4 linked regions of the Arabidopsis thaliana genome follow. The protein of the gene in region 1 interacts with the protein of each later gene in a pairwise test. Each region holds a gene or a part of one and is shown on either strand. Other genes may lie near its edges.

Region 1 (6,658 bases):
ATGGGTGATAGACCTACTACACAATTGGATTTTCTAGTCATGATTCTGACTCAGAATGGTTCTGAATTTTGCAGGCCAAGCATGTGGTTTCACCATGTTAGTCAAACCCCAGGAGATGGAGGTTATACCATTGCAGTGAACTATTGTAAGAGTTTTAGTTTTGCTTCCATCATCTGTTTGTCTTCAGTGGCAAGCCAGTATTTTTCGGCTCTCCTTGCCTCTAATAAGCTATGTATGCATCTAATTTGCAGGGTATGACATGCAGTTTGACATCAAGTATGCTTATTTTAACTTCTTGCAATCTTTATTATACAAGTCATCTTCACTCAATCCAGTTCTTTCTTGGAGAGAAGACGAAGATTCAGAATCCAGTGATGCAGAGGTATGAAGAGATGAAACAACATTTTTGCTGAGTTCAGGTTTTCTCAGTCATGGTAGAAAGCTCGGAGAAGATCTTAAATTTACATTATGTAATATTTAGACTAAGAAGATCTTAATTTTATTACTTGTCATGTCCATTGGTGCTTTCTCCACTATAACTTAAGTTTTGTCTCCCAGAATTATAAAGAACCATAAAATGATAGAAAAGCTCTGAAATTCTCTGAATTGTATCTCTTTTGTTGATGACTTCATTTTTGTCTCAGATTGCTCCCTGATTTAATGGTGGAACTCTGAAGCCATCATCTATATAAAAGCTCTTGTGGCTGTGTTTGGTTCAATATGTTCTTTAATTAAAATCTCCAGAGTAATTCAGATAAAAACTCTGGAACTGGGTCCATGGTCAACTTCTTGTCATGAATCCCATACATAACCTGCCGTTATTAACGCCATCCAGAGGATCGAACTCCTTGTTGCTTGACTTCCGACATTCTTGGGTTACTGGATTGTCTTTCTCCGTCTGGAACCGAAGAGCTGTACTCTTCTCTGGCTCAGAAATCAACTGACTCGTGATCGCTGGTGGGGCTTATAGAGCTGCAAGTTCACATTTTGAAATCTGGGGTAAGACCAACCTTGCAGTTTCTCAACCGTCTTTTTGATGTGTGTATCATGTTGGCGCCTGGACCTCGCCCGCCACATATGGAATAAATGCCCTACAGAGATTTTCGTTGCTCTGCAATTGTTATCATCAGCTGTATAGCCTGTATTGCAATGGATGGTTACCAAAATGCCACTTCTCTCCTTGTTGCTATGTTGAACAACATAATGTGATGTGTTCTAAAAGCATGTGCCTTGATTTCAGATTTAACATCAGGGAAGCAAGTTCACTCCCTCTGCCACAAATTTGTATCTTTCTTCCACTTATGTTAGTGATGGGGCTAGATTTTGGAAGCGAGTGCATGTGAATTCCATAAAGCTCGGGTTTGAATCAAATGGTTTGATACAAAGTGGGCTGATTGATATGTACAGGAAGTATAGGTTGGTGATAAATGCAGAGAAGGTGTTCAGAGCTATGGAGGGTCAGACAGTTTTAACTGTTGGAGGCTATGGTTTCGAGTATTATGCAGAATGGTTTTCGCATTGAGGACATCAAACCTGATAATGAGACTCTGTTAAACATTGATGTTTATATGCATATATATACTGTTAGAAAATAAAATAGTCACTCTCTCGTCGGCAAAAGGTTAAGAAAACATCGGAGCACCCAAGTAATTCAAGAAGCCAGAGTTTTTGTTCAATCATCGGATTTTGGTGAAGAGATGGGAGATTTTGTGAATAGATGTCCTATTGGTTTGTTTTTATGGTCCTTGTAGATCAAGGGTTCAGCTTCCTTTGAGGTGATCGGGATCACAGCCATTGCTGCTGCCGCTTTCTTTTCTTTGTAAGATGCCCAGGTGACACTATAAAGACCTGCTATGATTGCACATCCGCCTAAAATGCTAAGAGAGGAGGAGAAAAAAGCCTAGTTAGTTAGGAAACTTCAGACACATCCCGTTGATGGCTGAGAATAGCTAAGAGAAAAGGAGAGAGATATTAAACCTCCCCAAGTAGATAGGGCTTCCAAGGAAGATTCTGGACAAGAAAGCTGAGGCTGCGGGTTGAAGAGGATTATAGAGAGCAACCAAGGAAGGACCCAAGATCTTATTTGACCATGTCAAGAGACCATAGTTGAGAGCAGACGCGATTACTCCCTGCATAGAGGAAGCAACAGAGTTACTCAATTGGAGAAATTTAATGGATCAACAAACATATGGTGTGTGAAGAACATACTGCGTAGACAACTGCAAAGAACTCGGATCTTGTGAGACTCCAGTTCGTCGACTCATTAGTCATGAAAAAAGCAGATGTCACCATAAACATGGTCCCAAAGAAATACGAGTATGCTGTGACTGAAAGATTCGCCGGATACTTCTTTAAGACCGGAGCCTGATCATATATGTTTCAAATGCAAGGTCAGTCCAAAGACAAGAAGATATCTGAAACTGAAAGTGTGTGGATCATCTAGAAGAAAATGACATGCCTGAATAGCAAGAAAAGCAGCCATGCAAGTGCAATTCCCAATCAAACACAAAACTCCCAAATTCCATCGCCCAAGTCCATTAAAAAAGCCAGACATGAAGTGTCCAGATGTTTCAGTGTGTCTTGATTCACCATGACCCAAGGACTCAGCCTCTGTTTCCCCAAACAAAGCCAGTCCACGAAACAAAACCATCAGCACCGCCCCAGCGACACAAATCAGTGTGCCTCCTACCTTAGCTTGACCTTCTAGCTTGAATAAATTCAGTCTCTCTGTTCTGCAGCAACACACGAAAATGGATTGTTCTAGGTTTGGAAGAGTCAGAGAGAAAGTAAAAGAGAAAGACTGGATCGAGTCTTTACCCCATAATGAGAGCCAAGATGAAAGTAAAAACCGGGATCGACGGCTGAATGGCTGCAGCATAAGTTGGATTGGTGTAATTCAGACCAATGAGGAACAAAAGCTGATTACCAAATATCCTAATCACACCAAAACATCACTGTGATGATTGCAATCATGAAGATAACAGAAACTGGTAGAAGAAAACTTGAATTACCCTGTTAAACCAAGGAAGAAGAAAGCTAAGAGAAACTGTCGATTCAAAGGAGGTCTTGTTCTCTTATCACGGATATAAGCAAGAGGAGCAAGAATGGAGAGAGCAATGAGATCACGAAAGACACAGAAGACAAGTTGGTTTACACCAACGTTGAGAGCCACTTTGGTAATGACATGATATCCTCCGTTGAACAATTGCACACCGATCATCGCCACGTGAGCTTTCCACGCCTCTCTTTCCACCGTACTCTCCATTGGCGGTTTTCTTCTTTTCCGGCGATTCTTATTCCCGGAGAAAGTTATGAAAGCCAGGGTGAGAGAGTGGGTAAGAGAATTAAATCTTGAAACTGATTGTCACTTTGAATCTCTTCTGTCAAAACGTGTTTTTTGATCGAACGAGACAGGGGAACTAACAAATGATGACATCATGCTTCGGACACAAGCATGCATTGGGATTGATCCTATTTACCCGCCATTCCATTATCACTAATTTCCTTAAATTTTCATTTATAAATATATATAGAATCTAAAAATTAATTATAGTATGGTAAAATTTTATAAAAGTAAAGATACATAAATTCGAGGAACGAATACATAAATATAGAATGCTATAATTAATTTTCAGATGGTTCAAATTGGTCTTGGCGTAATTTATGTTAAGAGTTAAGCATCATGTTTCTAATATTATAATCGATGTAAATAATTATTTGAAACGATGTAAATAATTTTTTTCACTCACCAATTCTAAAGTCACTTATATAAGTGATGTAAAACTCATTTGCATCAATATGCAAATATAAAAAATAAGCGATTCAAAACGCTTTTTTTGTTGTACTGTCTTCTACAGACATTGATGTGTTGGACATCTTTAACTTTTGATTGTATGTGTTTAGATATCTCTGCATGCATTGGATTTGGTTTCATCGATATATAAAGTCTCATTTCTCATACTCTTTTTTGACCACCATGTGTTATGTCACGTATCAATTTTCTCATACTCATTTTTGACCACCATGTGTATATGTCACGTATCAATTTTGTCTTTTTTTTTTTAATTTCAGTATGACAAGTCGAAATACGATTTCAAACGAACGGAGATTTGGTTACAAGAAAATACCAAAAAGATAAAAATTGTGAAGTAGCAAATGAGTCTTTGTATTTTGTCTTCTCTTTCGTCATTGTCTTTGAGAGTGTTTATCCTATCAATGACGATGATTCTTTCTGTTACTACTTGGTATGAATTACTTGGCAATTTCTGATCGCCAACCCGTTCCTTTTGTTTGTTTCTAATGTGCATCATCATCTTTTGCCTAGGATATTTTTGTTATTAAAAAGGAAAAAAAAAAACTTCGAACCAACCTGTACTTCACGTTAATGTACAGTAGTCAAGAAAAATAAATTTATTTAATGCATGTGTGCTTCATGATCTTAGACACATGCAAATCGAAGAAACTCAAGCATGTCTTTCTTCTGGCTTTTTCCTTTTCTCCTTCATCTTTCATTTGCCGATTCCTTATCTCCTCTTTCAGCTCCAGTTCAAAATTTTATTCACCTAAACCATTCTTGTCCAAGTAGTATATTAACGTATTCAAGAAACAGCACTTACTTCACCAATCTCAAAACACTTTTGTCCTCTCTCTCTTCCCGGAACGCTTCATACTCTACCGGATTCCAAACTGCCACGGCGGGACAAGCTCCCGACCGTGTCACCGGACTTTTCCTTTGTCGCGGAGACGTCTCACAAGAAGTTTGCCGTAACTGCGTCGCCTTTTCCGTCAAGGAGACTTTATATTGGTGTCCGTATAACAAAGAAGTCGTGCTTTATTACGATGAGTGTATGCTTAGATACTCTCACCGAAATATTCTCTCGACCGTTACATACGATGGAAGTGCTATCTTGTTGAACGGCGCTAATATTTCATCAAGTAATCAAAATCAAGTAGATGAGTTTAGGGATTTGGTGTCGTCCACGTTGAACCTAGCTGCCGTTGAAGCAGCGAATAGTTCTAAAAAATTTTATACGAGAAAGGTCATCACACCCCAGCCTTTGTACTTGTTAGTTCAGTGCACACCTGATCTTACAAGACAAGACTGTTTACGTTGCCTACAAAAATCCATCAAGGGAATGTCTCTTTACAGAATTGGAGGAAGATTTTTTTACCCTAGTTGTAATTCAAGGTACGAGAATTACTCGTTCTACAATGAAACCGCCACTAGATCATCATCACCACCGTCTCTTCCGCCTCGCTCTACTCCTCAACAGCAGCTGAAGTTAGCTCCCCCACCGCTGATTTCAGAACGTGGTATGATGGACATAACTGCAACGTTTCTTTTGAGACACTCAAGATTTGTTTTAAAAAAGTGGTTCATACATGTAATCTGATGGAATACAGGAAAAGGCCGGAACTCCTCTGTAATCATCGTTGTTGTTGTTCCAATCATTGCTCTCCTGCTTCTGTTCGTAGCTTTCTTTAGTCTCCGGGCTAAGAAAACAAGGACGAATTATGAGAGGGAACCACTTACCGAAGGTATACATATTAAGACACCAAATGATAAACTATCTCCTTTTTATTTTCTTTCTTCACGAAGAATGTTCTCTATGTTTTACAGAAAGTGATGATATTACCACTGCGGGCTCACTTCAGTTTGATTTTAAAGCAATTGAGGCAGCAACAAATAAGTTTTGTGAGACTAACAAACTTGGTCAAGGTGGTTTCGGCGAAGTTTACAAGGTATTATTACCATTGTCCAAAACTGGTCCTAACTTTTAGAAGGCCACAAAGGAGAAATAATTGAGTTTGCTTTCAAAATATATATTTGATAAAAAAAAAAACAACACTTAATAAATAAAAACGAATATGTGTTAAACAAAAACAAAGTTTCATTTTCATGATTATTTTTGTAGGGTATATTTCCTAGTGGAGTACAAGTTGCAGTGAAGAGGTTATCCAAGACATCAGGACAAGGTGAAAGAGAGTTCGCAAACGAAGTTATTGTTGTGGCAAAGCTTCAACATAGAAATTTGGTAAGATTGCTAGGGTTTTGTTTGGAAAGAGATGAGAGGATACTTGTCTATGAGTTTGTTCCCAACAAAAGTCTCGACTACTTCATTTTTGGTCAGTTATGTTCAATATTTAGCCTAAGATAAATTTTTTACAAATTGTATACCATTCATTGTTTCTAACATTGTAAATTCATATGCGCAGACTCTACCATGCAAAGCCTGCTGGACTGGACTAGACGGTACAAAATCATTGGAGGAATTGCTAGAGGGATTCTTTATCTTCATCAAGATTCACGACTCACAATCATACATCGTGATCTCAAAGCAGGTAATATCCTCCTTGGTGATGATATGAATGCAAAAATCGCCGACTTTGGAATGGCGAGAATTTTCGGAATGGACCAAACGGAAGCCAATACTAGGAGAATAGTTGGAACATAGTAAGTTTTCCGTATATTTCCTTAAGGCACATAACATGCATGCTTCTATCAACTTAAGCTTTGAGTTTTGTCACAGTGGCTATATGTCTCCCGAGTATGCGATGTATGGCCAATTCTCCATGAAATCAGATGTGTATAGCTTCGGGGTCTTGGTTCTCGAAATTATAAGTGGGAAAAAGAACAGCAATGTCTATCAAATGGATG
Region 2 (10,401 bases), on another chromosome or scaffold:
CATTATTAATTGGAATGTTGGCAAGTAAAGACGCATTTTGAATTATAATTTATCGCATACCATTTTTCAAAGATTTCAAAATTTAATATTCTCCGTGAAGTTTGATGTTTTGGATTTTATTTTTTGTTTCATGAAGATTGATGTTGTAGGTTAATATTATTATTATTTTTATTAGTAACTAATATAAAAACTTATATTATTAAATTAACAGAAAAATAATAAAAATAATATTAAATTTATTTTTCTTAATTTATGTGAAAACGTCATTTTTTTTTTAGGAATAAAAGGAGTAAGTAATAACCTATCATGCATTGCGAACGTTATTAATGGCAGAAGATGTGTATGTGTACCGCATGCGGCATGCTTTCATTTCATTTTTTTTTTTTGTATTTCGTAGTATTTATTAACCACGTGTTTTCTAAATTTAATAAGGATGATGACATAAAAGCGTTCATTTACGTCAATATGTGTCTGCCCCATTATTCATAGCCGAAATCTTTCTCAGCCGATAAGCTAACGGTTAAATAAAAGACACAATTAAAAGAATAAGAAACTAAATTAATTTTTAAGAAAACAAAAACTCAATTTCTCGAAACCATGTTTAGAGTTAGACAGGGTTCAAAATTTGTGTCAGGTTTTTCTTTATTAGTTTCTTCTGAGAGATTCTTCCGAAAGGATTTTAGATGTTATTTTGTGTTGGTTAGTGATGATCTGAGAGTAGAAAATAACTCGCTGCTACTCAGTGCTCACTTCTTATCGCTGGTCACAAAGTGGGCCTGCGTAAGAGGCCTGTTCTTATCTTACGTTCACAAATTATGTCTACTTATTTTAAGTAAGTCCACTATTATAATGTTTACTATACTAAATTTAAATATCTTAATTACCGCTTATCCAACGACCAACATCAACAATTTTAAATTTAAGTTATGATGTCAAAACTTGACCTACTTATGAGCTGAGAAATATTGATTAATAATCTTCTTTTTGTTTTCTTCACGTCCACTAGACTCTATTTTATTCCTAACCGTGGGAGAGCTCGGTCGAGTCAATGAGCTGCTAAGTCTAGGTGGGAGAGCTCGGTTAGCTTTTAGGTCTTTGTTTGCTTTATTCAAAATTGTACAAAGGTTAAACCGTACGATTTCTGTATGGAGTGAGAACAATTAAATAATTAATGGTTAAGTTTCTATGTATCTGTATCTGTAAGGAGACTCAGAAAGCTCTTGAGCTTGAACATCGGAGACAAAGAGAATACTAAATTGTTCTTGTACGGTTCCCAATCCGATAAAATTGTAGACATCACATAGGTCCAATATTTAGGATAAAAGACAAAGATTTGAGACATCTTAGTGTACTCATCCATATTTTTGGATCACTAACTAATTACTCCAGAAATAATTAGTGATCCAAAATACCACATAATTTATTTATTTTTAGTTGTAAGAAAGTTGATTTAAATTTAGTAAACATATCGAAACGTTGATTAATTTTACAATTTTCTAGATTTCAGTGTTATGCATAAATCATTGAATGGTACGGACCCAATAAGGTTGGTGTAGGTAAGATTTCACTTACAAGTTGAGTTTGTGATTTCATAACGCTTTTGTTTGTTTGTGTAATTCAGCTGTAGATTAGATGAAGAACTTAAAATAAATAGACAAGACCACTTTAGCAAACAAAAAAATAAAAATAAATAGACAAGTCCATGCCTATTTTCGTGGTGCAAACGTCGCTCGCAAGTAGACAATTGTTGGGTCACTATCATATCATTGATATCAAGCAAATATTACTTACGATCATTTATTCATCTCATCGCTTTTGCATATCTATTTATGTGCAATATTAGACATTTACATATGTTCGGTACTTCGGTATTTTAGACGGAATAACGGAACCAGAGGAAACTACCGAGAGTTTGAGTAAGTAATAAAGGCTAAAAAAGGGTATAGAAAATGTACATGTACTTTGACTACGAATATAAGAAAAATGATATAGTGATTAGTTTTTAACTTTCAATACTCTTTGTCTTTTTCTATTTGAATTTAGCAATAAACTAAAGAAGAAACTGTTTAGAATGATATAAAATTGGAGACTTTTGCTTGAGTTGTCTAATTTTTAAGATAATCTCATATTACCCATATGTTATTATTAAGCTTAAATGCTTAATTATATAAAAATGTTAATTTTTAGCAAAATTTTTATTTTTTACAAAATAAAAAGCTCGTCTTGTTCTTATTATTATTTTTCTCTAGCTTCTCCAAATCCTATTTATTTATTTTTCTATTTTTTATATTTGGCGACCGTAACTCTAATTAATATTTTTGTAACTCATTTTTATGTGACATAAACATTTCAACATCGGTTATATCCACTTTTTAATGCTCCTAAAAGTATATTTAGGTTAAACTTTGAGTTTGAATCGTTTGTTTACGGTTTCAGATTTTGGGTTCATTCATGAATTTAATTCCAAAATTTGGTGACTTCTTTGTTGCAGCCATTCTAGAGACTTTTTTTTGTTTTGTTTTTTATTTGGTGCAAAACCATTCTAAAGACGCATGTGATGTTTTTAGCCAAATGGCATACATCGGTTATAATTGACATGTCGATATACTATAAAGTATCCACTCATATCTTTTGTTTAATTTTTTTAGTTCTTTCCATAGTTTCTGTAATATTTCGCGATCATAGCTATAAAATTTTAATCAAATAAAATCTTATAATTTGATCATCTCATTTATTTTTATAAAGTATATGATGCTGTATGGGGCGCAGTCACTGAATCTCAAATCTTTTACGTATAAATCATTACTGTTTTATTGATAAAGTAAGCTCAGTCTTTCGCACGACATCAAGATTTTATACGATATAGAGTTTTTGGTACCACGATCGCAACGTATAATAAGATAGTACTGTAACTAACAGTCACGTGATGGAATTTGAAATTAGTTAAACTCTAACCAATTAACTATACGTACATTTTACACGTGGTAAAACAAAACTAAAGCAAGAAGATTCAATTGTTTCTTTTCTTCACGCTTGTGACACTTTATAACCCAATAGTCCTTGTCTTTATAGTTTGATTACTTTTGTCCGTTAGTGTTCACCTTAATTATGGCGTTTGTAAATTTGCGGAGATGGAAAAGAGTGAAGTATCTAATCTTGACCTACATGAAAATCATCAATCCACTATAATAAAATCCTCTAGACCACACTTAATTAGTCAAAATCTAAGTTTAATAAGTGACATAGTTATGTTTAAACTAATAAATATTAATATATTTGTCAATTAATGTCTATATATCAAGAAAATATTATGGTCCTAAATATTAATTTATAGATTTTGTATTGAATATATATTTAATAGTATTTCTTTATTAGAATCATTTCAGTTATGTTCTATGCAATGTGTCTAAATATTATATTTTATTGCCTCTATTACCTATATAGATTTTATTTATATAAATATATAGTAATTCACAATCGTGTTTTACTTAATCCCTGGATCCCACCCGCAGTTTCGTGTGGCCCTCTTCAGTCTTCACTCATCAGACCGAAAGAAGGAAAAAAAAAGAGAGTTAAAAAGCATAAAACCCATTTTCCAATAAGAGTTTTCTTTTTCTCTTCTTCTTACGTGTACGATCCCAATCTAACAACACAAAAAGGGTTCAGTTTTCTTATCTCCATTTTGATCATGTCAAAAACCCCACATGTCCACCCATAATTCCTCCTCAGTCTTTTTATAAACAAACCATTTTCTTGCTTTTGCTCGCAAAACTTTAACCTTAAAAACCAAACCAAAAAAAACAAACTAAATTAAACTTATGGATGTGTCAAATGAGACAGTGGAAAGAACCGATCTCCGGACACCTTTAGTAGATCCGGCAGACACGGAGGTGAAACCTCTACCAGAGGTCGGGCTCGAGAGCGTATTAACGGAGAGTAGCTTGTCATACCGGAGGCGTGTGTACTTAGGAGCCTGTATAGAGTTGAAAGTACTTTTCCGGTTGGCACTACCGGCGATACTTATCTATTTAGTCAACTCCGGAATGGGTATATCCGCTCGTGTCTTCGCCGGTCATGTTGGTAGTCAAGAACTTGCGGCCGCGTCCATCGGAAATAGCTGCTTCAATCTCGTCTATGGACTTATGGTATGATTTACGTTACCGTACCCATATGAATATGATATGAGGAGACATGTTGGTATTATATATGAAGATTTATACTAATTATTATTTTCATTTGTTATAAGCGTTATCGTATATTTAGTGAAGTAAATGGTGGAGTAAATTATAAGCATTATAATTTAGTTGGAAATTAAGGATTAAAGATTTTGATTTTCTCGTTTTGTGTGTTGACATAACATATAAAAGTACTCATATATTATTAACCTAACCTAAATGGCTAAAAGCTTAGCAAACCACGTTTATTTTGCTAAGGATAACAGCCTGTAAACGATGCTGTATTTTTCTATCTTATATTCCTATATCCTAATTTGTTCTTACAATTTAATGATTACATACCATTTATTCGGTTCTTTTGTCTTATGAATCTTTACCATTTTCCTTCAATTTTTTAATTTTTATTTTGGGGTCAACTACTAGGCACGATTTTAATTTTAATTTTCCTACTAGGCACGATTTCTTCAGGCGTTGAATTTACTCGTATTGATATATAAACTATTACCGCCATGGTAACTATGAATGAAGTTAACTACTCGATATTCTTAGGGATAGAAACTTACGTAATGCAACTAATTGCATTAACACACGATCACGATAAGAGTTTTTACTAGACGAAATCACTATGGTGAGTTTTTGTGTGAAAAAGTTCAACTTTTGGATTTTGTAAGAGAATAATCTTTCACTTCCTTAGAATTCCGTGAAACGATTCCTTTTTCTTGTCAGCTAGTATAACTTAACGATTAATTGTAACTGTCGTTTTGCTTAATAAATGATATAATTGCATTTTTTGTCGACCAAAATAAATAATTTTTTGTAGTATCGTTTGTTTTGCAAGTCATTCTTTTGAATATTATTGTATGCTTATGATGAGTAGTCAATTAAATATTTATGATTTTCTCTTTGGATTATAGTGTAAAACTGAGCTTTCTAATTTTTGCCCATGTGAGCAATTTGTTTGTTTACCTAATATTAGGACTTTCTACTGTTTTCTCTTACTTTATACTAGAATTTGTAAAGATCTTCTACGTTAGATTTGTTTTCTTTTGTGTGCAACACGTTCTATTGTTTAATATGAATAATCTACAATATGTACTTTTTTCTTGGATCATCATATCGTTCTTTGTTTTATTGTTCATTTAAGAAAGGAAAAAAGATATAAAAAAATAGATACCCATTTTCAATAAAACTTTTTCTTTTTTAATTATGTGTACAATCTCTATTTATAACACACTAAAGAGCTTCATTTTGATTATCTCAAAAAAAACCACACAGATCCTTAAATCTCCAAATTTCCTCCTCAGTCTTATCATTATAGACAAAACCCTTTTCTTTGTAAATTTTTTCCCAATCTATGGAAGTGCCTAGTGAAACCACGAATTTAGCCGATCTCCGGCGACCATTGGTGGTTCCGGTTGTCTCGGAGCGTAAACCTCCGGCAGACGTCGGACTCGGACTAGAGAGTGTTTTAACGGAGCGTAGCCTTCCGTACCGGAGGCGCGTGTACTTAGGGGCATGCATAGAGATGAAGCTACTTTTCCGGTTGGCACTTCCGGCGATACTTGTCTATTTAGTCAACAGCGGAATGGGTATTTCCGCTCGGATCTTCGCCGGACATCTCGGTAAAAATGAGCTCGCCGCCGCGTCCATCGGAAACAGCTGCTTCAGTCTCGTCTATGGCCTCATGGTACGTTTTAATGTCAACGAGTTATCAGACGCGGTGATATTATTAAATATTATTTCTTGATTTTTGCATTCAGTATTTAATGTGAAAGGTTCGTAGCACGATAACTAGTGGAGTCAAAAAAAAAAAAAAATTGCTTTAATGTGAAAGGTTCGTAGTAACAATAGTCCTTGTTTCGTGTGTTAACATTAACTTATTAGAGCTAATTAAGATGGTCACGATTATTTGCTTACGCACTACATACAGCTTGTACGATTTATTCTTTTGAAATTTTCTTCATTTCCCACCAAATATAGATATATAGTAAGTTTTAAAAATCCATTTATTAGTTTGATCATTTAATGACTCTGCAGCCTTTCTTCTTTTTAAATTGTCTTCAACCGGGGCCGGGGATCGAAACAATAATTTTCTTAAATAAGATTAAAATTTCCATCTTTAATATACTGGGGAGTATATTTTTGCAATGTAATATTTATTTATGCCTTAAATTTTGAATACTATTCTAACTAATGAAAACGATGTGGGATTTTTATTTTGTGGTTGATGGTTACGATTTGGTCATAGTAGTGAACAATTATTTGTTTAATATAAAATGCTAAGCTTGTTTTGACGAAACAGTTTCCAATTGCCTTATAGTATTATATCAAATGAAAAGAGAAAGTCAAATTACAATCGTTAATGTGTAAATCATATAGGTTTGAGAATGATTATAGCTTTTAATATATATATATATATAGATAATTAAAAGAAAATTTTGTATTGACATCTAAGGTGGCCAAAAACATTTAAAGAATGTAGTCAACTAGGTAGATTGTTTATAAAAAGTTAGATAAGTTCTTCCAAAAATTGGTTCTATCTTTGATAAATAATGCTTAAGTCTCGTATTTCTTAAAATTACCTCACTAATGTTCACATATCGAGTATCTAAAGTATCTAGTGGAAATTTTGTCCACATATAGAGCTTTTGAAGTAGGTTTAGCAGACTAATCATTCGTTGCATGCCAGTCAAATATGAAATATACACATGATAAGGATGGCACAATGATGTCTCTGCTTACTTTTTCCTCATGAAATGTGCTCATCGTGTCTTGTCAGTTGTCATTAGTTATTTATGCTCAACCACTCATGCATGTGTTTATAAACGTTAATGTGTTTATAATATTTTTTAATAGATTTGATTTAAGAGGAAAACTACTATTCAAAACATTTTATAGTTTCATTGATAAGTATAACTAGCCAATAAGTTATTCCCGTAATTTAGAGTATACAAACAAAGATATTGTTGATGTCCAACAAAACTGGTGCCCACATTATATTTTCAACAAAAAACTTTATATGTAACTACTTTTTTTGCTTTTTCATGTGTTTTTTGTAGTTAGGTATGGGCAGTGCAGTCGAAACACTATGTGGACAAGCCTATGGAGCCCATCGTTACGAGATGCTTGGGATCTATCTCCAAAGAGCAACAATAGTCCTCGCTCTAGTTGGCTTGCCCATGACATTACTATACACCTTCTCGTACCCTATTCTAATCCTACTAGGGGAACCCAAAACGGTGTCGTACATGGGATCCAAATACATCGCCGGGCTCATCCCTCAAATCTTCGCTTACGCCGTCAACTTCACGGCCCAAAAGTTCCTCCAGGCCCAAAGCGTGGTTGCCCCGAGCGCCTTCATCTCAGCCGCCGCCCTCATCCTCCAGATATTGTTGACGTGGATCACCGTTTATGTAATGGACATGGGCTTTATGGGCATAGCTTATGTTCTTACAATTTCTTGGTGGGTCATTGTTGGATCCCAGTGTTTTTACATTGCGGTTAGTCCCAAGTTTAGACACACGTGGACTGGTCTTAGCTGGAGATCGCTCCAAGGTCTTTGGAGCTTCTTTAAACTCTCTGCTGGCTCAGCTGTTATGATTTGTCTGGAAATGTGGTATTCGCAGATTCTTGTTCTTCTTGCTGGTTTGCTCGAAAATCCTGCTCGCTCTCTAGATTCTCTTTCCATCTGGTAAGTCCATTAATTAGTTAGTAACTTGATTCTTGATTCTATATCATTTTCTTAATCACTTATACTTTTTTTTTTTGGTTTTAATGTGAAGGAATCACTTATACTTCTCTTTTATCTAACTATTTTTTTCTTGTTATTTTTGTGCAGTATGTCAATTTCAGCATTATCATTCATGGTCTCTGTCGGCTTTAATGCTGCTGTAAGGTTAGTATTTGTTTCTCAATCAATTTCAGATTATCATCCAAACATTGCTCAGGTTAAATCATAATTTTCTATACAATTACTATGCATGGACAGTGTACGGACAAGTAATGAGCTTGGAGCAGGAAATCCGAAATCAGCATGGTTCTCTACATGGACGGCGACTTTTGTATCCTTCGTGATCTCCGTGACGGAAGCCCTCGCCGTGATTTGGTTTCGTGATTACGTTAGCTACATTTTCACGGAGGATGCTGACGTGGCTAAAGCCGTCTCTGACCTCTGTCCTTTTCTTGCCATCACCATCATTCTCAACGGAATTCAACCTGTCTTGTCCGGTATAAGTTCATTTAGATTTAAACTAGAAAACTTAACTGGTGCACCTTAACCGAACATGACCAAATAAATCTCGGTTTGGTGTTGTTGTTTGTAGGAGTGGCAGTGGGATGTGGATGGCAAACATACGTGGCATATGTGAATGTTGGTTGTTACTACGTTGTTGGTATTCCGGTTGGGTGTATTCTCGGCTTCACTTTCGATTTTCAAGCCAAGGTTCGCTTTCAAATATATTATGTATAGTATTAGTATATGCTTTGTTACTATCAGTTTAATAAAAATAATTTTACGTGAATTTTGGTTATAGGGAATATGGACCGGGATGATTGGAGGTACCCTCATGCAAACACTCATTTTACTTTACGTCACGTACCGAACAGATTGGGATAAAGAGGTAATGTTACATGAAATTAAGTTATATCATAGTGTAAGCTGAATTTGATTCAAAGAGTTTGTCCAAATTATTAAGGTTTATTATTATTGTATAATAATGATACAGGTGGAAAAAGCGAGGAAACGTTTGGATCTGTGGGACGACAAGAAGGAGCCTCTCCAAAACTAGTAATGGATTTTACAGAATAAAAGTATATTTTTAAAAATAATTAACATTAAACTTTACAATCTGATATTTAATATTCAGGTTATAACAAGTTTGGTGGAGTGATAGACAATAAAGAAAAGGAAATAAGTGTCGTGTGTGCAGGTGATTTCAATGTACGTAGCTTTTCATGGTTATTATGCTTGTTCTATGGAAATAGAACAATTAAAATATATTTTTGTCTGATGGATTATTCTTTATTTACGAAAAGTTGTTCTTAAATTGATGTTTCTTTCCTTTCTCAGAATGATTTATTATGTCTTCACTCTATAGACAGTTATTAATTATTTATTATGGAATTTTGATGTAATTGGGTGTAGTAAGTAAAGTAGCACATCAATGTGACATAGCTATCCAGTTTTCTTTTACTGATACATTGTAATTTAATGGATGTTTATTTGTCGAAATGCCATTATTCAAATTAAAGTCGTTTAATGCATATTATTGACATATAAGAATAAAAGCTTCTCTACTCGAAAATTAGAAACAATGCACAGTATTGTAACGAGAATCGTGGATCGCAGTTTCCTGTCATACCTAAAATCCAAACACGAGTTACATGGGCATCTCTTGACAAATTGTGAGGGCCACGCTATTAATAACTATAGTGACGGGTCAGTAATCTAACCAATGATACATGATTCAAACAAATATAAATGTATAGTTAATAGGTAAATTTCTTAAGCAAACAAAAATAAAATTAGTCAAACGGGGAAAGTGACAAAAAAATATTACGTAAAATTTAAATCGATACATTGTCTTCAGTCTTCACCAATATAATTAACAAATGTCACTAGATTGTTTTTTAAAGATTTATTAGCAAAATATTGAATATATTACTCGACATATTAATTATTATATGCTATAAATATGGAATGAAATAGATTTGTTGATTTTTGAAGACCGAAAAAGAAGCTAAAAGGAAATTTTTGATTAACGATGCAATTCATCTTTCAAAATCATCTTTTCATTAAGTCATTGAGCTGATAAAGTCTGTTGGGCACAGCCATATATAAATTACGCGGGTAAACGGATTATATAGTAATCGACACTTAAAAAACAAACACAAAAGTTGATTTTGTTGACCGACTTTTTCTGTCTCTTGGCCTAAATTGGCGTCCAGGTTTTAAAACATATAAGACATAGCCTATATTTTGTCAAAAATAAATAAAAATAAGACAGCTATATACGTACGTTTTTTTCTCTTTTTTTTCTGTCATCTGGAATTATATTAGAAAATTAAAACTTCAACACATGAAACCACCGATTACAAGGCTAGACTAAATCAAAGATGAAGCGAACAAGAGTTAGCTTACCACAAGGCCCAACTCCAACATATTCAAGAGTGGTCTATACAAAAAAGAATGAGCTCTGAAACATTGAGTACCTCACAAACCAAACCC
Region 3 (6,991 bases), on another chromosome or scaffold:
ACTCTTATAAACTATTTATGGGGATTAAGGGGATAACTCAGTAGTGGCTAGTGATTTAGGTTCGATTCTGCCAGCAATTCTCTTCAGCTTAATCAGAAGAGGGAGCTGTACATCCTCATCGTAATCTCCAAAATCCCCATCATCATTAAAAAAGCGCAAACACCGATTTCAAAATCGATAAAAACGTATAAATCGATTACCAGAGAATTTCAAATTCGAAAACGCAAACAAATCAGAATCAAATGAAAAGAGAGGAAGGCTCAGATCAGCGGGGTTATCGACACAGAAACGACTCAACCAATAAATTGGAAGAAACGCCTAATTCCGGTCTGTTGAGCTTGAAATTTCCGAGTCATCACTGCCAATCTCCCTCTCTCGATTAGAGAATTATAAAGAAACTTAAAAACTATCAATCATCCAAAAAGACCCATAAAAACGACGATTGAATAACAGAAGAAGAGAACCCTAGATGCTATTGAATACTGATAATGATGAAACCTCCGGCGATTGGTGTCTAATTTATAGGGAACGTAATTAGGGTTTTGCTTTGATCTTCGGTGAAGGCCCATTCTCGGCCCGTTAATGGTTTCCGAATTGTGCTGCTTTGTCTTCGCGGATGGTTCGGTTTATATTCGGTTCGCTTTAATTTGGTTATATTAGAATCATTTTGGTTTAATCTGGTTTATGCTTGAAAATGAAATCTGGTTTAAATAGTTTCTCTGTTTGGTTTTTCTGTTTTAATTAATTTACGGGCAATGGAAGCATTGAGAGCGTCCTACGGCGACTCTTCATCGGATTCCGATACCGATGATCTTTCTCCGGCGAGTCCCGTTACTGCAAATTCTGGAGAGAAAGATTCGATTTCCTTGCCTCCTCCACCGCTTGCGCTTCTCGATTCCATTGTATCCACAGGTGAAGATGCTCATCAATTGTCTCTGTGATTGTTCCTCAATCAAATTCTTAGAGATTTCACTCATCACTTATTTTTTATTTCGTCTGAACTTGAAGGTTCACTGGATTTCTTCTCAACAGAGCCTGGAGTTCGTGTAAGAAACTTTCCTCATGTCGATGGAAATTACGCTTTGCACGTTTACGTACCTGGTATTTGTTCATTTCGTAGCTTAAAATTTCTGAGAGTTTCGAGGTTTTTGAATTCTGAAGTGGTTGTTTAGTATAAGAGGATACGTATGTGTTTGAGAATGTATTGATGAAGTGCAGGCCTGATGAAGTGTATCACTTGTCTTTCTCTTTCACTCATTGTTTATTTTGTTTTTGGGATTCTAGTTTGTATACCTCCACTGCCAAAGAAGGAGATTGTATGTTTTTTAAAGAAGGTTGCATCAGTTGTTCCTCATCTTCATTTGGTAGAGGCTGATGTGCCACTCAGCATTCTATGCAAGGATGATCAGAAGTTTGAGCGTGCCTTGGGGAGAGAGTTCCACATAAGCTTAGGAAGAAACGTTCCACTACGTGTTCATCAGATTAACTCGGTGATTTCTATGCTTCGGCAAAAGCTTCAGTTGCAGAAGAGGTAAGATCATTTCTTGCCTACCATACTACCCAAATTACGATGGGGTTTGTGAATTGTTTTCCGTTCTGTTTTTGACAGATACTTGATAGATTTCAATAAGTGGGAAGTCTTTGTGAATGATGACCATACTCGCTCTTTCCTTTCTTTGGAAATCACTACTTCAGGACTATCCGAGGTATGTTGTACAACAAGAGTTAACCTTGAATGTTGGATTTTTGCATACTCAGTACCTTGTGTTAGATATTGTACTGATTATCATATCCTTAATTCAGATAAGTAAGCAAATTGATGCTGTTAATGAAGTTTACAAGCTCCACAATCTGCCGGAGTTCTACAAGGTCCACTTGCTTTTCTATATAGTACTTTACAGCTTGATTGTATTTTACTGTTTAGCCAATGAAAATCGTCATGGACACTTATCCCATCGAGTCTGCTTCAATTTTTCTTTTAGGATCCGCGGCCGCATATATCCTTGGTCTGGGCGTTGGGTGATATTAGAACTTCCCTAAAGGGAGCTGTTGACGTGGAACTTAGGAAGCTTAGAGCAGGTGGTTGTGTGCAGAATCGTATCTTCACCTCTAAGTTTTGTGGGATCGAGTGTAAGATAGGAAACAAAACACACAAAATATGTAAACTCCCAGATGAATAAGAAAATCTCAAATTTCTGTGTTTGCAGACCAATCAGGTATGCATTTGTAACGACATAGAAGGATGAGTTGATCTGTGTTCTTGGGTATTCCATAATATATGTCTCTTCATAGAAAAAAGTCTCCATATATCATAATATCACTCGTAATAACATTGGTGATTTCTGGACAATGCAACAACAAGTCCTTGTGATTTGAAATAAGGTAGATATTGAACTGGCTACTATTATGTTACAAAACGTTTACATGAAAGTGAAATCATGGAGCAAATTTTTTGTGACCTGGAGTCCAAGAAGTGAGCGAGCATACCAATAGGGTTCTCGAGCAACCTCATCAAACCCGGGGTGGTAGCAGCGAGGATGGATGTGATGAGAATGCAGTAAAGCTTGACATGATCAGGTGCAATGCTGGCCATGGTTGTGTTGTGCGAGAAATACATAGCAATCATACAGATCTGAAGCTGGAACCGCAATGGGAACCCGAGGGTGAGAATGTTGAGCATAGACAGTGAAACCGAAAACCCAATTGTGTTGAAGAACACAAACAAAGTGAAAGCAACTCCATTGAAGGTCCCCATGATAGATTGCCCTGCTGTATGAGCTTGTTGATTTGTAGTATTCACATTCGTTGTGTTCTGGGATACAGCAGGTATTGAGCTATCTTGCCAGGTTCCACCTGGTGGGGTCAAGCTGGCCTGAAACGTGGCTGTGGCGACTAGTGAAGCCACCACTAGTAATGCGCTACGTGCTTCTGATGGTGAGTCTCTGTGCTTTTTGAAAGTGAAGTACTTGACAAGTTCTTTATGGCTTTGGGACTTCATTGTTCTCTCTTGGCATGTGGAAGTAGAAGTGGTTCTCTCGACATTAGTAGTGCCAATGTCTCGCCCTCTCTGAGCTCCAGCTTCGATGAGTTTCTCATAGATTTCTCTATCGCCAGCTTCGCTCGGAAACATAACCAGCAAATCCATCGCTGATAGACCCATCTTGTTCATAGCATTCACCTCAAATGACCTTGATTCTTCTGGTATTGCCTGAACCAACACTTCAATCACCTGTAGGCAAAAGAAAAACAGAGTTTGATTCCACTGGAAGAAAACTATTTAACCGCAACTTAATTCGTCGTACCTGGCGATTTTTTCTCCAGGTTGCAAGATGAAGAGCAGTGTTACCCTGTTCATCTTTCTTATTCAACACATCAAATCGATTTGTCTCTGTGATCAACTCAACAATGGCTATGACTGCTTCGATCTCTAGGTGCAGAACAGCAAGATGCAAAGCAGTTTGACCTTGTACGGTCTCGTCTTCTAAACAATCAACACAGCTCGCTACAATCTCTCTGATCACATCGATTTTCCCTCTCATCGTTGCCACATGTAGAGGAGTCTTTCCATCTCTATCTTTTAAGCGGCAAAGCTTCTTTTCAACCCCCAAAGTTGCCCTCACAGTCTCTACTTGTCCGGCTGCCGCAGCTGCATGAAGAGGGCTAAACCCGTTTTTGTCCAAGTCAAAGACTGACCGCTGCCTGAGAATCTTTCCGGCGACGACATACTCTTCACTCCTTGGGTTGAAGGAGTTATAGAGAGGATCAGAGACGATCTCCTTCGGTAAATGAGTCTCAAAAGCATCCATTTTGGTGATGATGCAGAAGAAAGAGAGAGAGAAGATCGAGTTGAATATACAATGAAGGTGTGTACCATCACGACGCTTGTTTGAAATTTTCTATTACAAAACTCCCTTTGACATTTGACTTTGTAGCATATGAAGTATTCCTTAAAGTGGAACAAATGCTTACAAGTGTCAGTTGTTTGCATTACTTTATCTTTTGATTTTCTGACCCTGAGATCATCGTATGTGCAAATTCATATCCGCTCCGACCAATACAGATGAAATTTCAACAATTTGAGTAATACAATAGTTTTTGGGTATGAGAGTCAAATCTTAGACGAATTGACTTTTTTTCCATCGGTTGAGAGAACTTGCATTAGGAAACTAAACAAAACTGTGTTTTTCTTGAAGTGAGTTTTTAAGCAATAGATCAAGATTATAACAAGACAAAAAGGAATATATCTAGTGATCTGTTTCAAGTTTCAACACTGTGTTGGTGTTAACAAATCAAGACAGCTTGACTCGCTTGCCATAAATCTTCTTCATTCTGCTACTTCTCATTGAAATAAAGAAGAGACAGTGGAGTTGTTGTTATTACGTGAAAGAAAATAAAAAACAGGCTCCTAAATCCTATGAATCACTTCAATCTCTTAAGTTTTCTGTGTGGAGGAACCCTTTCTTTCTGGAAAGTTTCACATTAACTTCCTGAAACACAATCAAAATCATGATTCCGTAAAGGGTCCTTTTTGGTTTGCTCAATTTCAACGTCAGGTGCTAATATAGTATCAGACAGCTTCTGCTTATACTTCTAAAGACCGGGAATTGCTTCCAAGTTATACTTTTCTTCGGCTTTCGGAGTTTCGCCTTCTCGGCTCTCCTGCGTTTTCGGTTTCTTCAATGCATCTAGGGTCTGGAGATAAGAATAGGACGAACTATGAGGGTATTTGCTGCTAGGATTGCTTATTTGGCTAGCAAGAAACCGACGGATGAGTCCCCTCAGAAACGGAGCCATTGTATCAGGTTCATATTCGAGGTAGTACATTATTCCTCCCATGCATCCACAGAATAAAGCCACCTGTTTCCATTAATTGTATAAAACATCAGTTCCATTGCTCAAAGGGGAAGAAAGTTGGAAATAACAAAAGTGGTTTGTAATTGTATTGTACCTCAGCATTTTTAATGTCGGGAAGAAGGTGGCGATTAACAAGTATCTCCCACAGAGAATCTCCTGCTCGGGGAAGAACATATAGAGCAAGCTCAGAGCGTCTCGGTTTCTTCTCCAGCATAACTGAGAGGGCTGCTGCACCACCCGCAAACCAATAAACGAGCTTGTGGTCTTTGGTTGCAACTTTTCTATGGGCACATATGAAAGCCTAATGCAAATGGGATGAAGGCACATACATTTGGGAATGGTTTTAGGAAACTATGTGAATTGTATGAAATGAGGGGACACAAATCAAATGTAAAAACCAGCTACCTGAAAAATCCCAACAAAAGCAGACAAGAAGGACGTCGATCTAACTGAATCTCTGATTGCAAGCCAAGATGTCCGGTAAGGAGAAGCCATGAACTGAAATGAAAGTGTAGGATGGCATCAGAAACTACATATCATGTCTGACTAATGCATAAACCATAGGAATCTAAAAGACTGAAACGGCAAATATTGAGGGACAGTCTTACTTTTTGTAGGTGTAGAACAACATATGGGACAAAAGTCAGGGAGAAATATAATGGAAATGTTTTCTTGAATGTAGCTGACATTGCATTAGCATTTTGGGCCAGACACGAGTTAGTGTTTGGATGAATAGCTGCACAGGGAATGATGGAAGCAAACTCTTCCACCTTCACGTCGCTTGCTTCGTTTTTACTAGAAATATAGGCTGACAAGGAGGCTACATCAATTGGACCACCTCTGCAGCACTCTCTTACAGCTTGGTAGACAGGCCTTGCAACTGGACCAGTCTTCTGAATAAATTCTCTATATGATTTTGGCAAGGTTTCAGGACGCATTATAAAGGAATACATAACCTGCACCGACCTCATTGCAACAAAATTAGCTTGCTGACCATAATCACTACCAAATCACATTGGAGAGAATACGTATGGTACACAAAAATGTCTTTCAACGTCTATACTATCTCCATTACTAACTAGAACAGGAAGAAAAGAGAAGAATCTCAAATACCTGAGCACATGCAAGAGAAAAAAGTAACGAATCTCCATGTCTCCAATGGCTACCCCAAAGATGGAACTTGTTCTTTGACTTAGCGGAATTATAAGCCGCCTATTAATAAGAGAAAAAATCAGACTCCGAAAAAAACATCTGTGTGGTGATATTACTCTGTACGACAGACAATACTATGACCATTAGATGTACCTGGCCTAATCTAGCCAAGAGGTATAGAGCAAGTGTGCGACGCTGGTTGGAATCATCTAAAGCCAAGATAGACAAACCCGCAACTGAACCTGCTAAGACTCTGCTCCACCCTTAATCAAAGTCATAATAAGGAATATACTTTTCAAGCACTATGCACAAAGTAAAAAGTAGAAGCATTATAAGAAAAGAGATACAACAATCGAAATCTTAGGCAACACAAATAAATAAAATAAACTTACGAATTCAATGGCGTCTCTTTCTTTCTCCACTTCCTCAAACAGCATCTAAGGGCATGATACGAGCCAGTAAAGCCACCAAAAAGTAGACCAATACGACATGCTTCCTCCCTAACTATCAAATCTTTCTCTGAAACAAGTTGCTGCAACCATTGTTCACGTGTGAGTGAATCGCATATACAATGATAAGTCAATAACACATTGGCCATAGTTTCAAAACAACCGTATCAAATGGAACACTAAAGCAGAGACTCGTAAGACTCTAAATCTCCAGAAATTGCCACAAAAACAAATTCCAATTCATCAATTCCTCACCTTAAGATCGAGAAGAGACGAATAAGACTGTCCCCTAGCGAGCTTAAAAGCGCGAAGAAGAATCCCGATCCCAACTCTAACACCATAAGAGAGAAGAAAGCTCTGACATAAATTCCCAATGGCATTGGCGACGCAAGAAACGTCAGCGTGATCACACAATTCCGCGTGAGATCCACGCGCCGCAGAGCGTTGTCTACGCTGAAGCTCCGCCATGGCATCGCGTAGCCTCTCCTCCGCTTCTCGAAGCCGGCGCTCAGCCTCCGAGCTGTCTTGAGATAAAG
Region 4 (6,954 bases), on another chromosome or scaffold:
GTGCCAACCGCTAATAACCGCTACCACCTGCAAACGCAGCGTTTGCGGGTGACAGAGGGAGAACCAATCAAACCCTAAGTACTTTTTGCTCATACGGATCTTCCTAATTTAGATTCGAAAGAGAAACAAAATTTAATTTGAGAGATTATGGGCCATCCAGATGCAATACTATTGAATATTGATCTAATTAAAGGACGTCCAAGTTCTAAATGTTAGATGTCTTTATGAAATCTATTGTGCAGATGACATTATAGTTGCTAGAAAAAAACTACATTACGTTGCAATTTTTAAACTTACAAGAAAAAAGTAGATTGAAGACAATTTCAACGAGAAACAACAGACGACTGCATAAAAATCCTAATTAGGGAGTAGAAGAAACCTACTTTGCTTGATTAATCATTCCACTTGGTCAAAAAATATATACCCATACAACCAAGTCCAATTGTTCAAGTAGGAGGAGTCTTGTATGTGACTTAGTCTTCTGTTGAACATAAACAGCATTAAATCATAACTAATAATCATTACTATGACTGATTGACTGATAATTGTAATGATTTTCTAATTGTAAGTTATTTATGATTGCAATTTCTAAAGTATATTGCCTAACCCACGGAAATGCCATCACATGTCGAAAGTAATAGTTTTATTTTGGTCTCGCTTGTTTCTAACGGAGTTTATGTATATAGAGATATATATATGCCTATGATTATTCTCTACAAAAATGAAAATCACATTTCAATACTTTTTTAAAAATGTATTCTTAAAGAGAAGACGCAAAAAGTATTTAAGTGTACAGTGAACAAATAAGATTTTGTTTTAGTGGTGAAAGAGAAAAATTACACTATATTTCTAAATTAGTTTTTTTTCTTTCTTTTCGGTTTTTGAGGTCATTTAATCAGATAATTCGAAAATATTTAAATAACTTATGTACTAGGATAAAAAGCAAACATTTTTTTTTGGTATGAATTAGTAGTAGAGAATATTACGTGATTAGACACTTTTTTAAAAGTTTGTTCCTAATTAGGCACTTTAAATGGAGAAGTCACTTTAGATAAATTATTTTACTTATTTACCCTTTAACTACATTTTTTCCATCGGTCATTTCTTCTCTCTCCTTTTCCCATCTCTTCTCTATTTTTTTTTTTTCTCACTTTATCGAAGAAAAAAACATTTCCCAGAATATCTTCAATTCCAAATCTGCAATTAATCTCCAAATCCACTCTACGCGATGGCTTTCTTTTTTCTCTGGACTAATTAGAGAATATGAGGTCTTGGTTTCTTTAAGATTGTAATTTATTTTGCAATTTAAATATTTGTTTTGATATAAATTTGAGATTCAATTATCTAAGAAACATCTTCTTCTTCAACAATGGCGGCTTGATTTGATTTTTGCTCTCTCTCATGTGTCAAACTCGTTTCATCTATGTAGCATCGAGATTCCGGTTAATCGAATTTCCTGTTATTATGGACATGATATACAAAATGGATATAGAACAGTAAAAAGGTTTCCGAATGGATATATTTAAATGGACTCGTTATTATGGACACCAAACCATTGTTTGTTGATTTTTCTTTCGGTTTGCAGAGACCTCTACCTTCAAAACCTTATGGACATGGAACTTTGGTTTCTTTACAAAACACGGTTAATCGAATCTCCTGTTATTATTGACATGGTATATAGAATGAATATAGATAAGTAGAAAGGTTTTTGAATGGATATATTTAAATGGATTCGTTATTATGGACACCAAAACATTGTTTGTTGATTTTTCTTTCAGTTTGAAGAGACCTCCACTTCCAAGACCTTATGGACATGGAACTTTGGTTTCTTTACAAACCACGGTTAATCGAATCTCCTGTTATATGGACATGGTATATAGAATGAATATGAATCAGTAAAAGGTTTTCTGAATGGATATATTTAAATGGACTCGTTATTATGGACACCAAAAAATTGTTTGTTGATTTTTCTTACAATTTGCAGAGACCCCACCTCCAATACCTTATGGACATAGAACTTTTACCAAATTCCTGAGATAATCGAGATCAAATTGTTTAAGAAACTTCTCCAAAAGTTATGGAGACGTGGAGAGAGAGAGAGAGAGGCGCTACAAATCATGGAGAGAGAGAGAGAGAGATTTTATTTATTTTGGGTAAGGATCGTGGAAGAGGAATAACAAAAAAGAGAAATTAAGAATTAAAAACATAAATATTGAATTGAGGGTAAAAAAGTCTTTAAAAAAAAAGAATTAATAGAAAAAGTGTCTATTTCCTATAAACTGCCTCAAACGGAAAAACATTCTCTAAAAGTGCTTAATAGTGGAACATTAATCGCATGACAATATAATAAGACGTAAAATTTTTGGTCTTATCATATGCAAATACTTATTAATAAGGAAATTTTGGTCTTATAATATTGCAAAAACTGATTTTTCTTTGTTTACTATTCATCCCTATCACAATTCACAACATTAACAAAAACTTTCTAATGGATTTTTCTTCAACTCTAGAACATTGCAATTCCTTTTCAACTCTAGAATATCAAATACCGTTTAAAAGACAAAACTATCAGTTAATGATGTCACAAATTACTCAAAAAATTAACACTCTCTTAATAAGAAGAAGACTTGTATTTTAATAATAAGAAGACCTCGTGTGAAACGAGATCAATTACAACTTTATGTATTAGACTTTTTGACAAATTCACAACGGTCATCAAATGGAAACAAACAAAACGAAGGCTCCTCTTCAGGCTCTCAACGGTCACTTGCTTAGAAGCTGCGACTACGACAAGCAAAAATACTCATCCAATGAAAACGACGACGTATAGAACCTAACGGTCGTTTTAAATTCTTTAAGATTCTATTTTTCATTTAATTTAAAAAGGAGAAGAAAAAAAAAGTGAGTCATCAATGAAACACTTCTTTAACACAGATACGTTACCCACATGCCCAATTATTAGCATTCGTTTCCTTTTAGACGTGTTTTTGACTTCATTTGAAATGTCTGTTTTAACCTCACAGAGCAAACCCAATAAATCGCTTACTTCATCGTTTTAGCTATTTTAGACTGTGAATGACCGTTTTACCCTCCAACATTCTCTTTTGTACTATCTGCTGTGTTTTATTGAATTTTATTCTACGTTACAAAGGGCCTTTCTTCTTATTTGCAATACTCCTCTTTTTGTTTATGATAGTTCTAGTCTACTAGACATAATTTGTTTTTATTATTAAATTGACATAAAGTTACCAAAAATTGAATGATTCTTATTTTGGTTATGAAAAAATATTGGAATAAAAAATCTCATGGATATATACATTTTTCATTATTAAGAAAAAATGATATTTTCCTTTATTTTGCCAACAAAAAAAAACTGGTCAACAAGAGTAGGATTCAAGCTAATTTTGTTTTCCTCAAAATAATATCCATTTTGTAGAAAGTAAAAGGACAACATAAATAAAGGAAATGAAAGTTGTAAGGGCATAAATGTTATTTACAAAGTCAAAGAGACTGAAAAACTTTGAATAAAGCTCGATAAACACGGACTCTAATTCATTCAATATTCATTACCTTCTTCTTTCCTTTATATTTAAAAACCTTCTTCTTCTCTCTCTGTACATCGTCACAACAAAAAAAAAACAGAAGGAGAAGAAACAAAAACAATAATCTCAGCAAAAACAAATCTCTACTCATCGAAATCGAAATCAAAATATAGAAACGATGTCTTGCTCCGTCGCCGTATGTAATTCTCCGGTGTTTTCACCGTCGTCTTCTCTATTCTGCAACAAATCTTCGATTCTCTCGTCACCGCAAGAATCTCTTTCTCTAACGCTTTCTCATCGCAAACCTCAGACCTCTTCTCCTTCCTCTCCATCCACCACCGTTTCTTCTCCTAAATCTCCATTTCGTCTCCGTTTCCAGAAACCTCCGTCCGGATTCGCTCCTGGTCCATTATCTTTTGGATCTGAATCTGTTTCTGCATCCTCTCCTCCGGGAGGTGTTTTAAAGAGGAAACGACCTACAAGGCTTGATATACCGATTGGTGTTGCTGGATTTGTAGCTCCGATTTCTTCATCGGCCGCTGTGGCTGCGACGCCGAGAGAGGAGTGTAGAGAGGTTGAGAGAGAAGGTGATGGTTATTCTGTTTATTGTAAGAGAGGAAGAAGAGAAGCTATGGAGGATCGTTTCTCTGCTATCACCAATCTTCATGGAGATCGTAAACAGGTAATTTTAAATTTCAAATTCATTTTTCAGTTTTGGTTTAGAATTGAATTGAATTGGTGATTTTGATTCGATTGATTAGCAATTACAGCTCAAATTAGGGTTTATCATGTGAGATCTACATTGATTGGGTTAATAAGCTATCTAAAATTAGGGTTCTTTGGGGAAAATTGAAATTCTGAATAGAATTAGAAGTTTTACAGAATCATATGAAACAATTGTGTGCTTATTGATGAATCGTGTATTCTAAACGTTGTTTTGCTTTGTGATAATTTCTCAGGCGATTTTCGGAGTCTATGATGGTCATGGAGGAGTTAAAGCGGCTGAGTTTGCAGCTAAGAACTTAGATAAGAACATTGTAGAAGAAGTAGTTGGTAAGAGAGACGAGTCTGAGATAGCTGAAGCGGTGAAACATGGTTACTTGGCAACAGACGCGTCGTTTCTTAAGGAGGAAGACGTTAAGGGTGGTTCATGCTGTGTCACGGCTCTGGTTAACGAAGGGAACCTTGTTGTGTCTAACGCCGGTGACTGTCGTGCTGTTATGAGTGTAGGAGGTGTAGCTAAGGCTTTATCTTCTGATCACCGCCCGTCTAGAGACGATGAACGGAAAAGAATTGAAACCACGGGAGGATATGTTGATACGTTTCACGGTGTTTGGAGAATCCAGGGATCTTTAGCTGTGTCAAGAGGAATTGGAGATGCTCAACTTAAGAAATGGGTTATAGCTGAACCAGAGACAAAGATTTCGAGAATCGAGCATGACCATGAGTTTTTGATCTTGGCATCTGATGGTTTATGGGATAAAGTGAGTAACCAAGAAGCAGTAGACATTGCTCGTCCTCTCTGCTTAGGAACCGAGAAGCCATTGTTGTTAGCTGCCTGTAAGAAGCTTGTCGATTTATCTGCTTCACGAGGCTCGTCTGATGATATCAGTGTGATGTTGATCCCTTTACGCCAGTTCATATAGAAAAGAGAGGCATCTTAGAAGATTTTAGATATATGATAAACGTTAGAAATTTGGAGGTTTTATATGATTTAGTTCTTTTGTTTAACTTGATCCATTCATTTATTTATTCTTTCTAACTTAGTGAACAAAGCTAAACTCATTGTGGCTTATGATTACTTGTATGATTCGAGCATTGGCCGAAATTAATCTAATAATCGGTTCGTTATATATCTTGTCATATGTTTCAAGATCCTGCAAATTTCTCTACAGTACAATACCAACACAGTGCTTGGAAGAGATTGACTCAATCTGAATCAAAGATTCCTTGTTTTGATGAATTTCAATTCACAACTCCAACATACATGAAGTTCATATTGAGATGCAACGTGAAAGAAATCGACATGACAAGTGATCCTGGTCAAAGAGTCACACGGCCAATATTGTTTTAAAGTGGAACGAAGGTACAAGAGAAGTTGATCGAGAAAACAAGTTCAACCATAAAGAGAGTTTTCTTAGGAAAAAGGAGAAAAACAAACAAAGTCCTCAAGTTTGACAGGCTAACATAAACCATTGGGCCGGACACAAACCCGAATAGCCCAAAATATATTATTTGTTCACATGTGTAGTTTAATTAGTTTTGGTCTTGGATCTCAAATTCTCAATCTGTTTTCATGCAAACGTAAGATATGTTTTTATTTTGTCTACTAGTTAAAATCTCGTTAAATCTATTCATTTTCGTGTTTTTCACATTCAGTCTGGTTAGACATTGAGACCAATACAAACCACTTAGAATTTTGGCTGTGGTTGACATATATATCCTAACAATGTTGTTAATTGTGACAATGTTGACATGGATTAAGAACCATAATTTTCGATGAATTACATATTAACAAGAGTGAAATGATGTGCAAATTAAATTGAACATATACATTTTATGTACATATAAGAAACAAGCAAAAACAAATATGTGCGGTGATAATGATTACCGACATGGATAAGCCGATAAAAGGATAAGAAAAATAAAACAAAAGATTGAGTTTGTGAAAAGAGGAAGAAGACAATGGTCAAAGAAAGAACGTAAAAACAACACGTGAATTACAAACACATGTTTTTGTGTTGTAGGCGGAGAACACGTTGTTGTTTTTTGTCTTCCAATGGACCCCAAAAACGGCACGTTGTTCGGCTTTTTCTCTTTTGTTCTTGTTTTTGTTTCTCCAACTCTAATTTCTTTTCTTCTCGTATTTAACTTTACCAAACCAAATCTCCGGAAAATTAGCATTTCAGTCCCACACACATCATGTGTTCTACCGATTCAGTGTAACTAAACTTAATGTAACATAAGTTGTGTTAGTTCACTTAATTTAGCTTCCATCTATCAGTTTCATTTATTTCACTGTTTTTTTTTTCAAAAACAAATTTATGAATGAAAGCCTAACAAATAACACCATGACCTACATGATCCACATTGAGTTAATCCCTACAACCTAACTTTACCTGTATCTTTTCATATTTTAATTGTGAAAATCATGATTTTTAACTCTATTTTCATCTCATTACAAGTCAATGTCTATTTTATGTTATTTTACAAGTCAATTTCTATTTTATCTTTTGGGCAGTTTTTTTTTCCAAGAGGAATAAAGCTTGAAAAGAAGTAGTTGAATTAGACTTGTTAACAAACCCATAATAATTAACTAAATAAACAAAGAAAATATCAATAATACTATAAACCACACTCGCATGCAATTAAATATTCACGATGTAATTAAGACAGAGTTCGTCCACTACAA

The links.
Region 2: the proteins of UMAMIT3 (region 1) and AT4G21910 interact in a protein complementation assay, tested with the Arabidopsis thaliana proteins (one large-scale study listed by BioGRID).
Region 3: the proteins of UMAMIT3 (region 1) and AT5G51160 interact in a protein complementation assay, tested with the Arabidopsis thaliana proteins (one large-scale study listed by BioGRID).
Region 4: the proteins of UMAMIT3 (region 1) and AT2G30020 interact in a protein complementation assay, tested with the Arabidopsis thaliana proteins (one large-scale study listed by BioGRID).

Annotation. Positions count from the first base shown.
Region 1 is NC_003074.8:16,863,853-16,870,510, reverse strand, and holds UMAMIT3 (nodulin MtN21 /EamA-like transporter family protein), read right to left. Parts: upstream 3,479-6,658; 5' UTR 3,266-3,478; coding exon 3,012-3,265; exon of another isoform or gene 2,935-3,011; coding exon 2,818-2,934; coding exon of another isoform or gene 2,733-2,817; coding exon 2,459-2,732; intron 2,365-2,458; coding exon 2,209-2,364; coding exon of another isoform or gene 2,170-2,208; exon of another isoform or gene 2,130-2,169; coding exon 1,978-2,129; coding exon of another isoform or gene 1,950-1,977; intron 1,878-1,949; coding exon 1,673-1,877; 3' UTR 1,585-1,672; downstream 1-1,584. Other genes in the region: AT3G45880 (2-oxoglutarate (2OG) and Fe(II)-dependent oxygenase superfamily protein), read left to right, coding at 75-145, 252-382, 645-656; CRK4 (cysteine-rich RLK (RECEPTOR-like protein kinase) 4), read left to right, coding at 4,470-5,313, 5,404-5,538, 5,621-5,742, 5,916-6,126, 6,217-6,454, 6,531-6,658.
Region 2 is NC_003075.7:11,624,382-11,634,782, reverse strand, and holds AT4G21910 (MATE efflux family protein), read left to right. Parts: upstream 1-3,527; 5' UTR 3,528-3,818; coding exon of another isoform or gene 3,819-4,145; 5' UTR 4,146-5,529; coding exon 5,530-5,862; intron 5,863-7,234; coding exon 7,235-7,866; intron 7,867-8,013; coding exon 8,014-8,070; intron 8,071-8,163; coding exon 8,164-8,402; intron 8,403-8,497; coding exon 8,498-8,616; intron 8,617-8,707; coding exon 8,708-8,794; intron 8,795-8,899; coding exon 8,900-8,961; coding exon of another isoform or gene 8,962-8,962; exon of another isoform or gene 8,963-9,040; coding exon 9,041-9,041; 3' UTR 9,042-9,474; downstream 9,475-10,401.
Region 3 is NC_003076.8:20,789,095-20,796,085, reverse strand, and holds AT5G51160 (Ankyrin repeat family protein), read right to left. Parts: upstream 4,014-6,991; 5' UTR 3,807-4,013; coding exon 3,303-3,806; intron 3,230-3,302; coding exon 2,405-3,229; 3' UTR 2,245-2,404; downstream 1-2,244. Other genes in the region: AT5G51170 (U6 snRNA phosphodiesterase-like protein), read left to right, coding at 756-912, 1,009-1,101, 1,285-1,531, 1,610-1,706, 1,804-1,869, 1,983-2,180; AT5G51150 (Mitochondrial import inner membrane translocase subunit Tim17/Tim22/Tim23 family protein), read right to left, coding at 4,591-4,857, 4,949-5,155, 5,260-5,352, 5,463-5,810, 5,968-6,066, 6,160-6,259, 6,399-6,538, 6,711-6,991.
Region 4 is NC_003071.7:12,810,717-12,817,670, forward strand, and holds AT2G30020 (Protein phosphatase 2C family protein), read left to right. Parts: upstream 1-3,554; 5' UTR 3,555-3,720; coding exon 3,721-4,224; intron 4,225-4,501; coding exon 4,502-5,188; 3' UTR 5,189-5,644; downstream 5,645-6,954. UniProt on the Arabidopsis thaliana protein: Protein phosphatase that negatively regulates defense respones. Inactivates MPK4 and MPK6 MAP kinases involved in stress and defense signaling.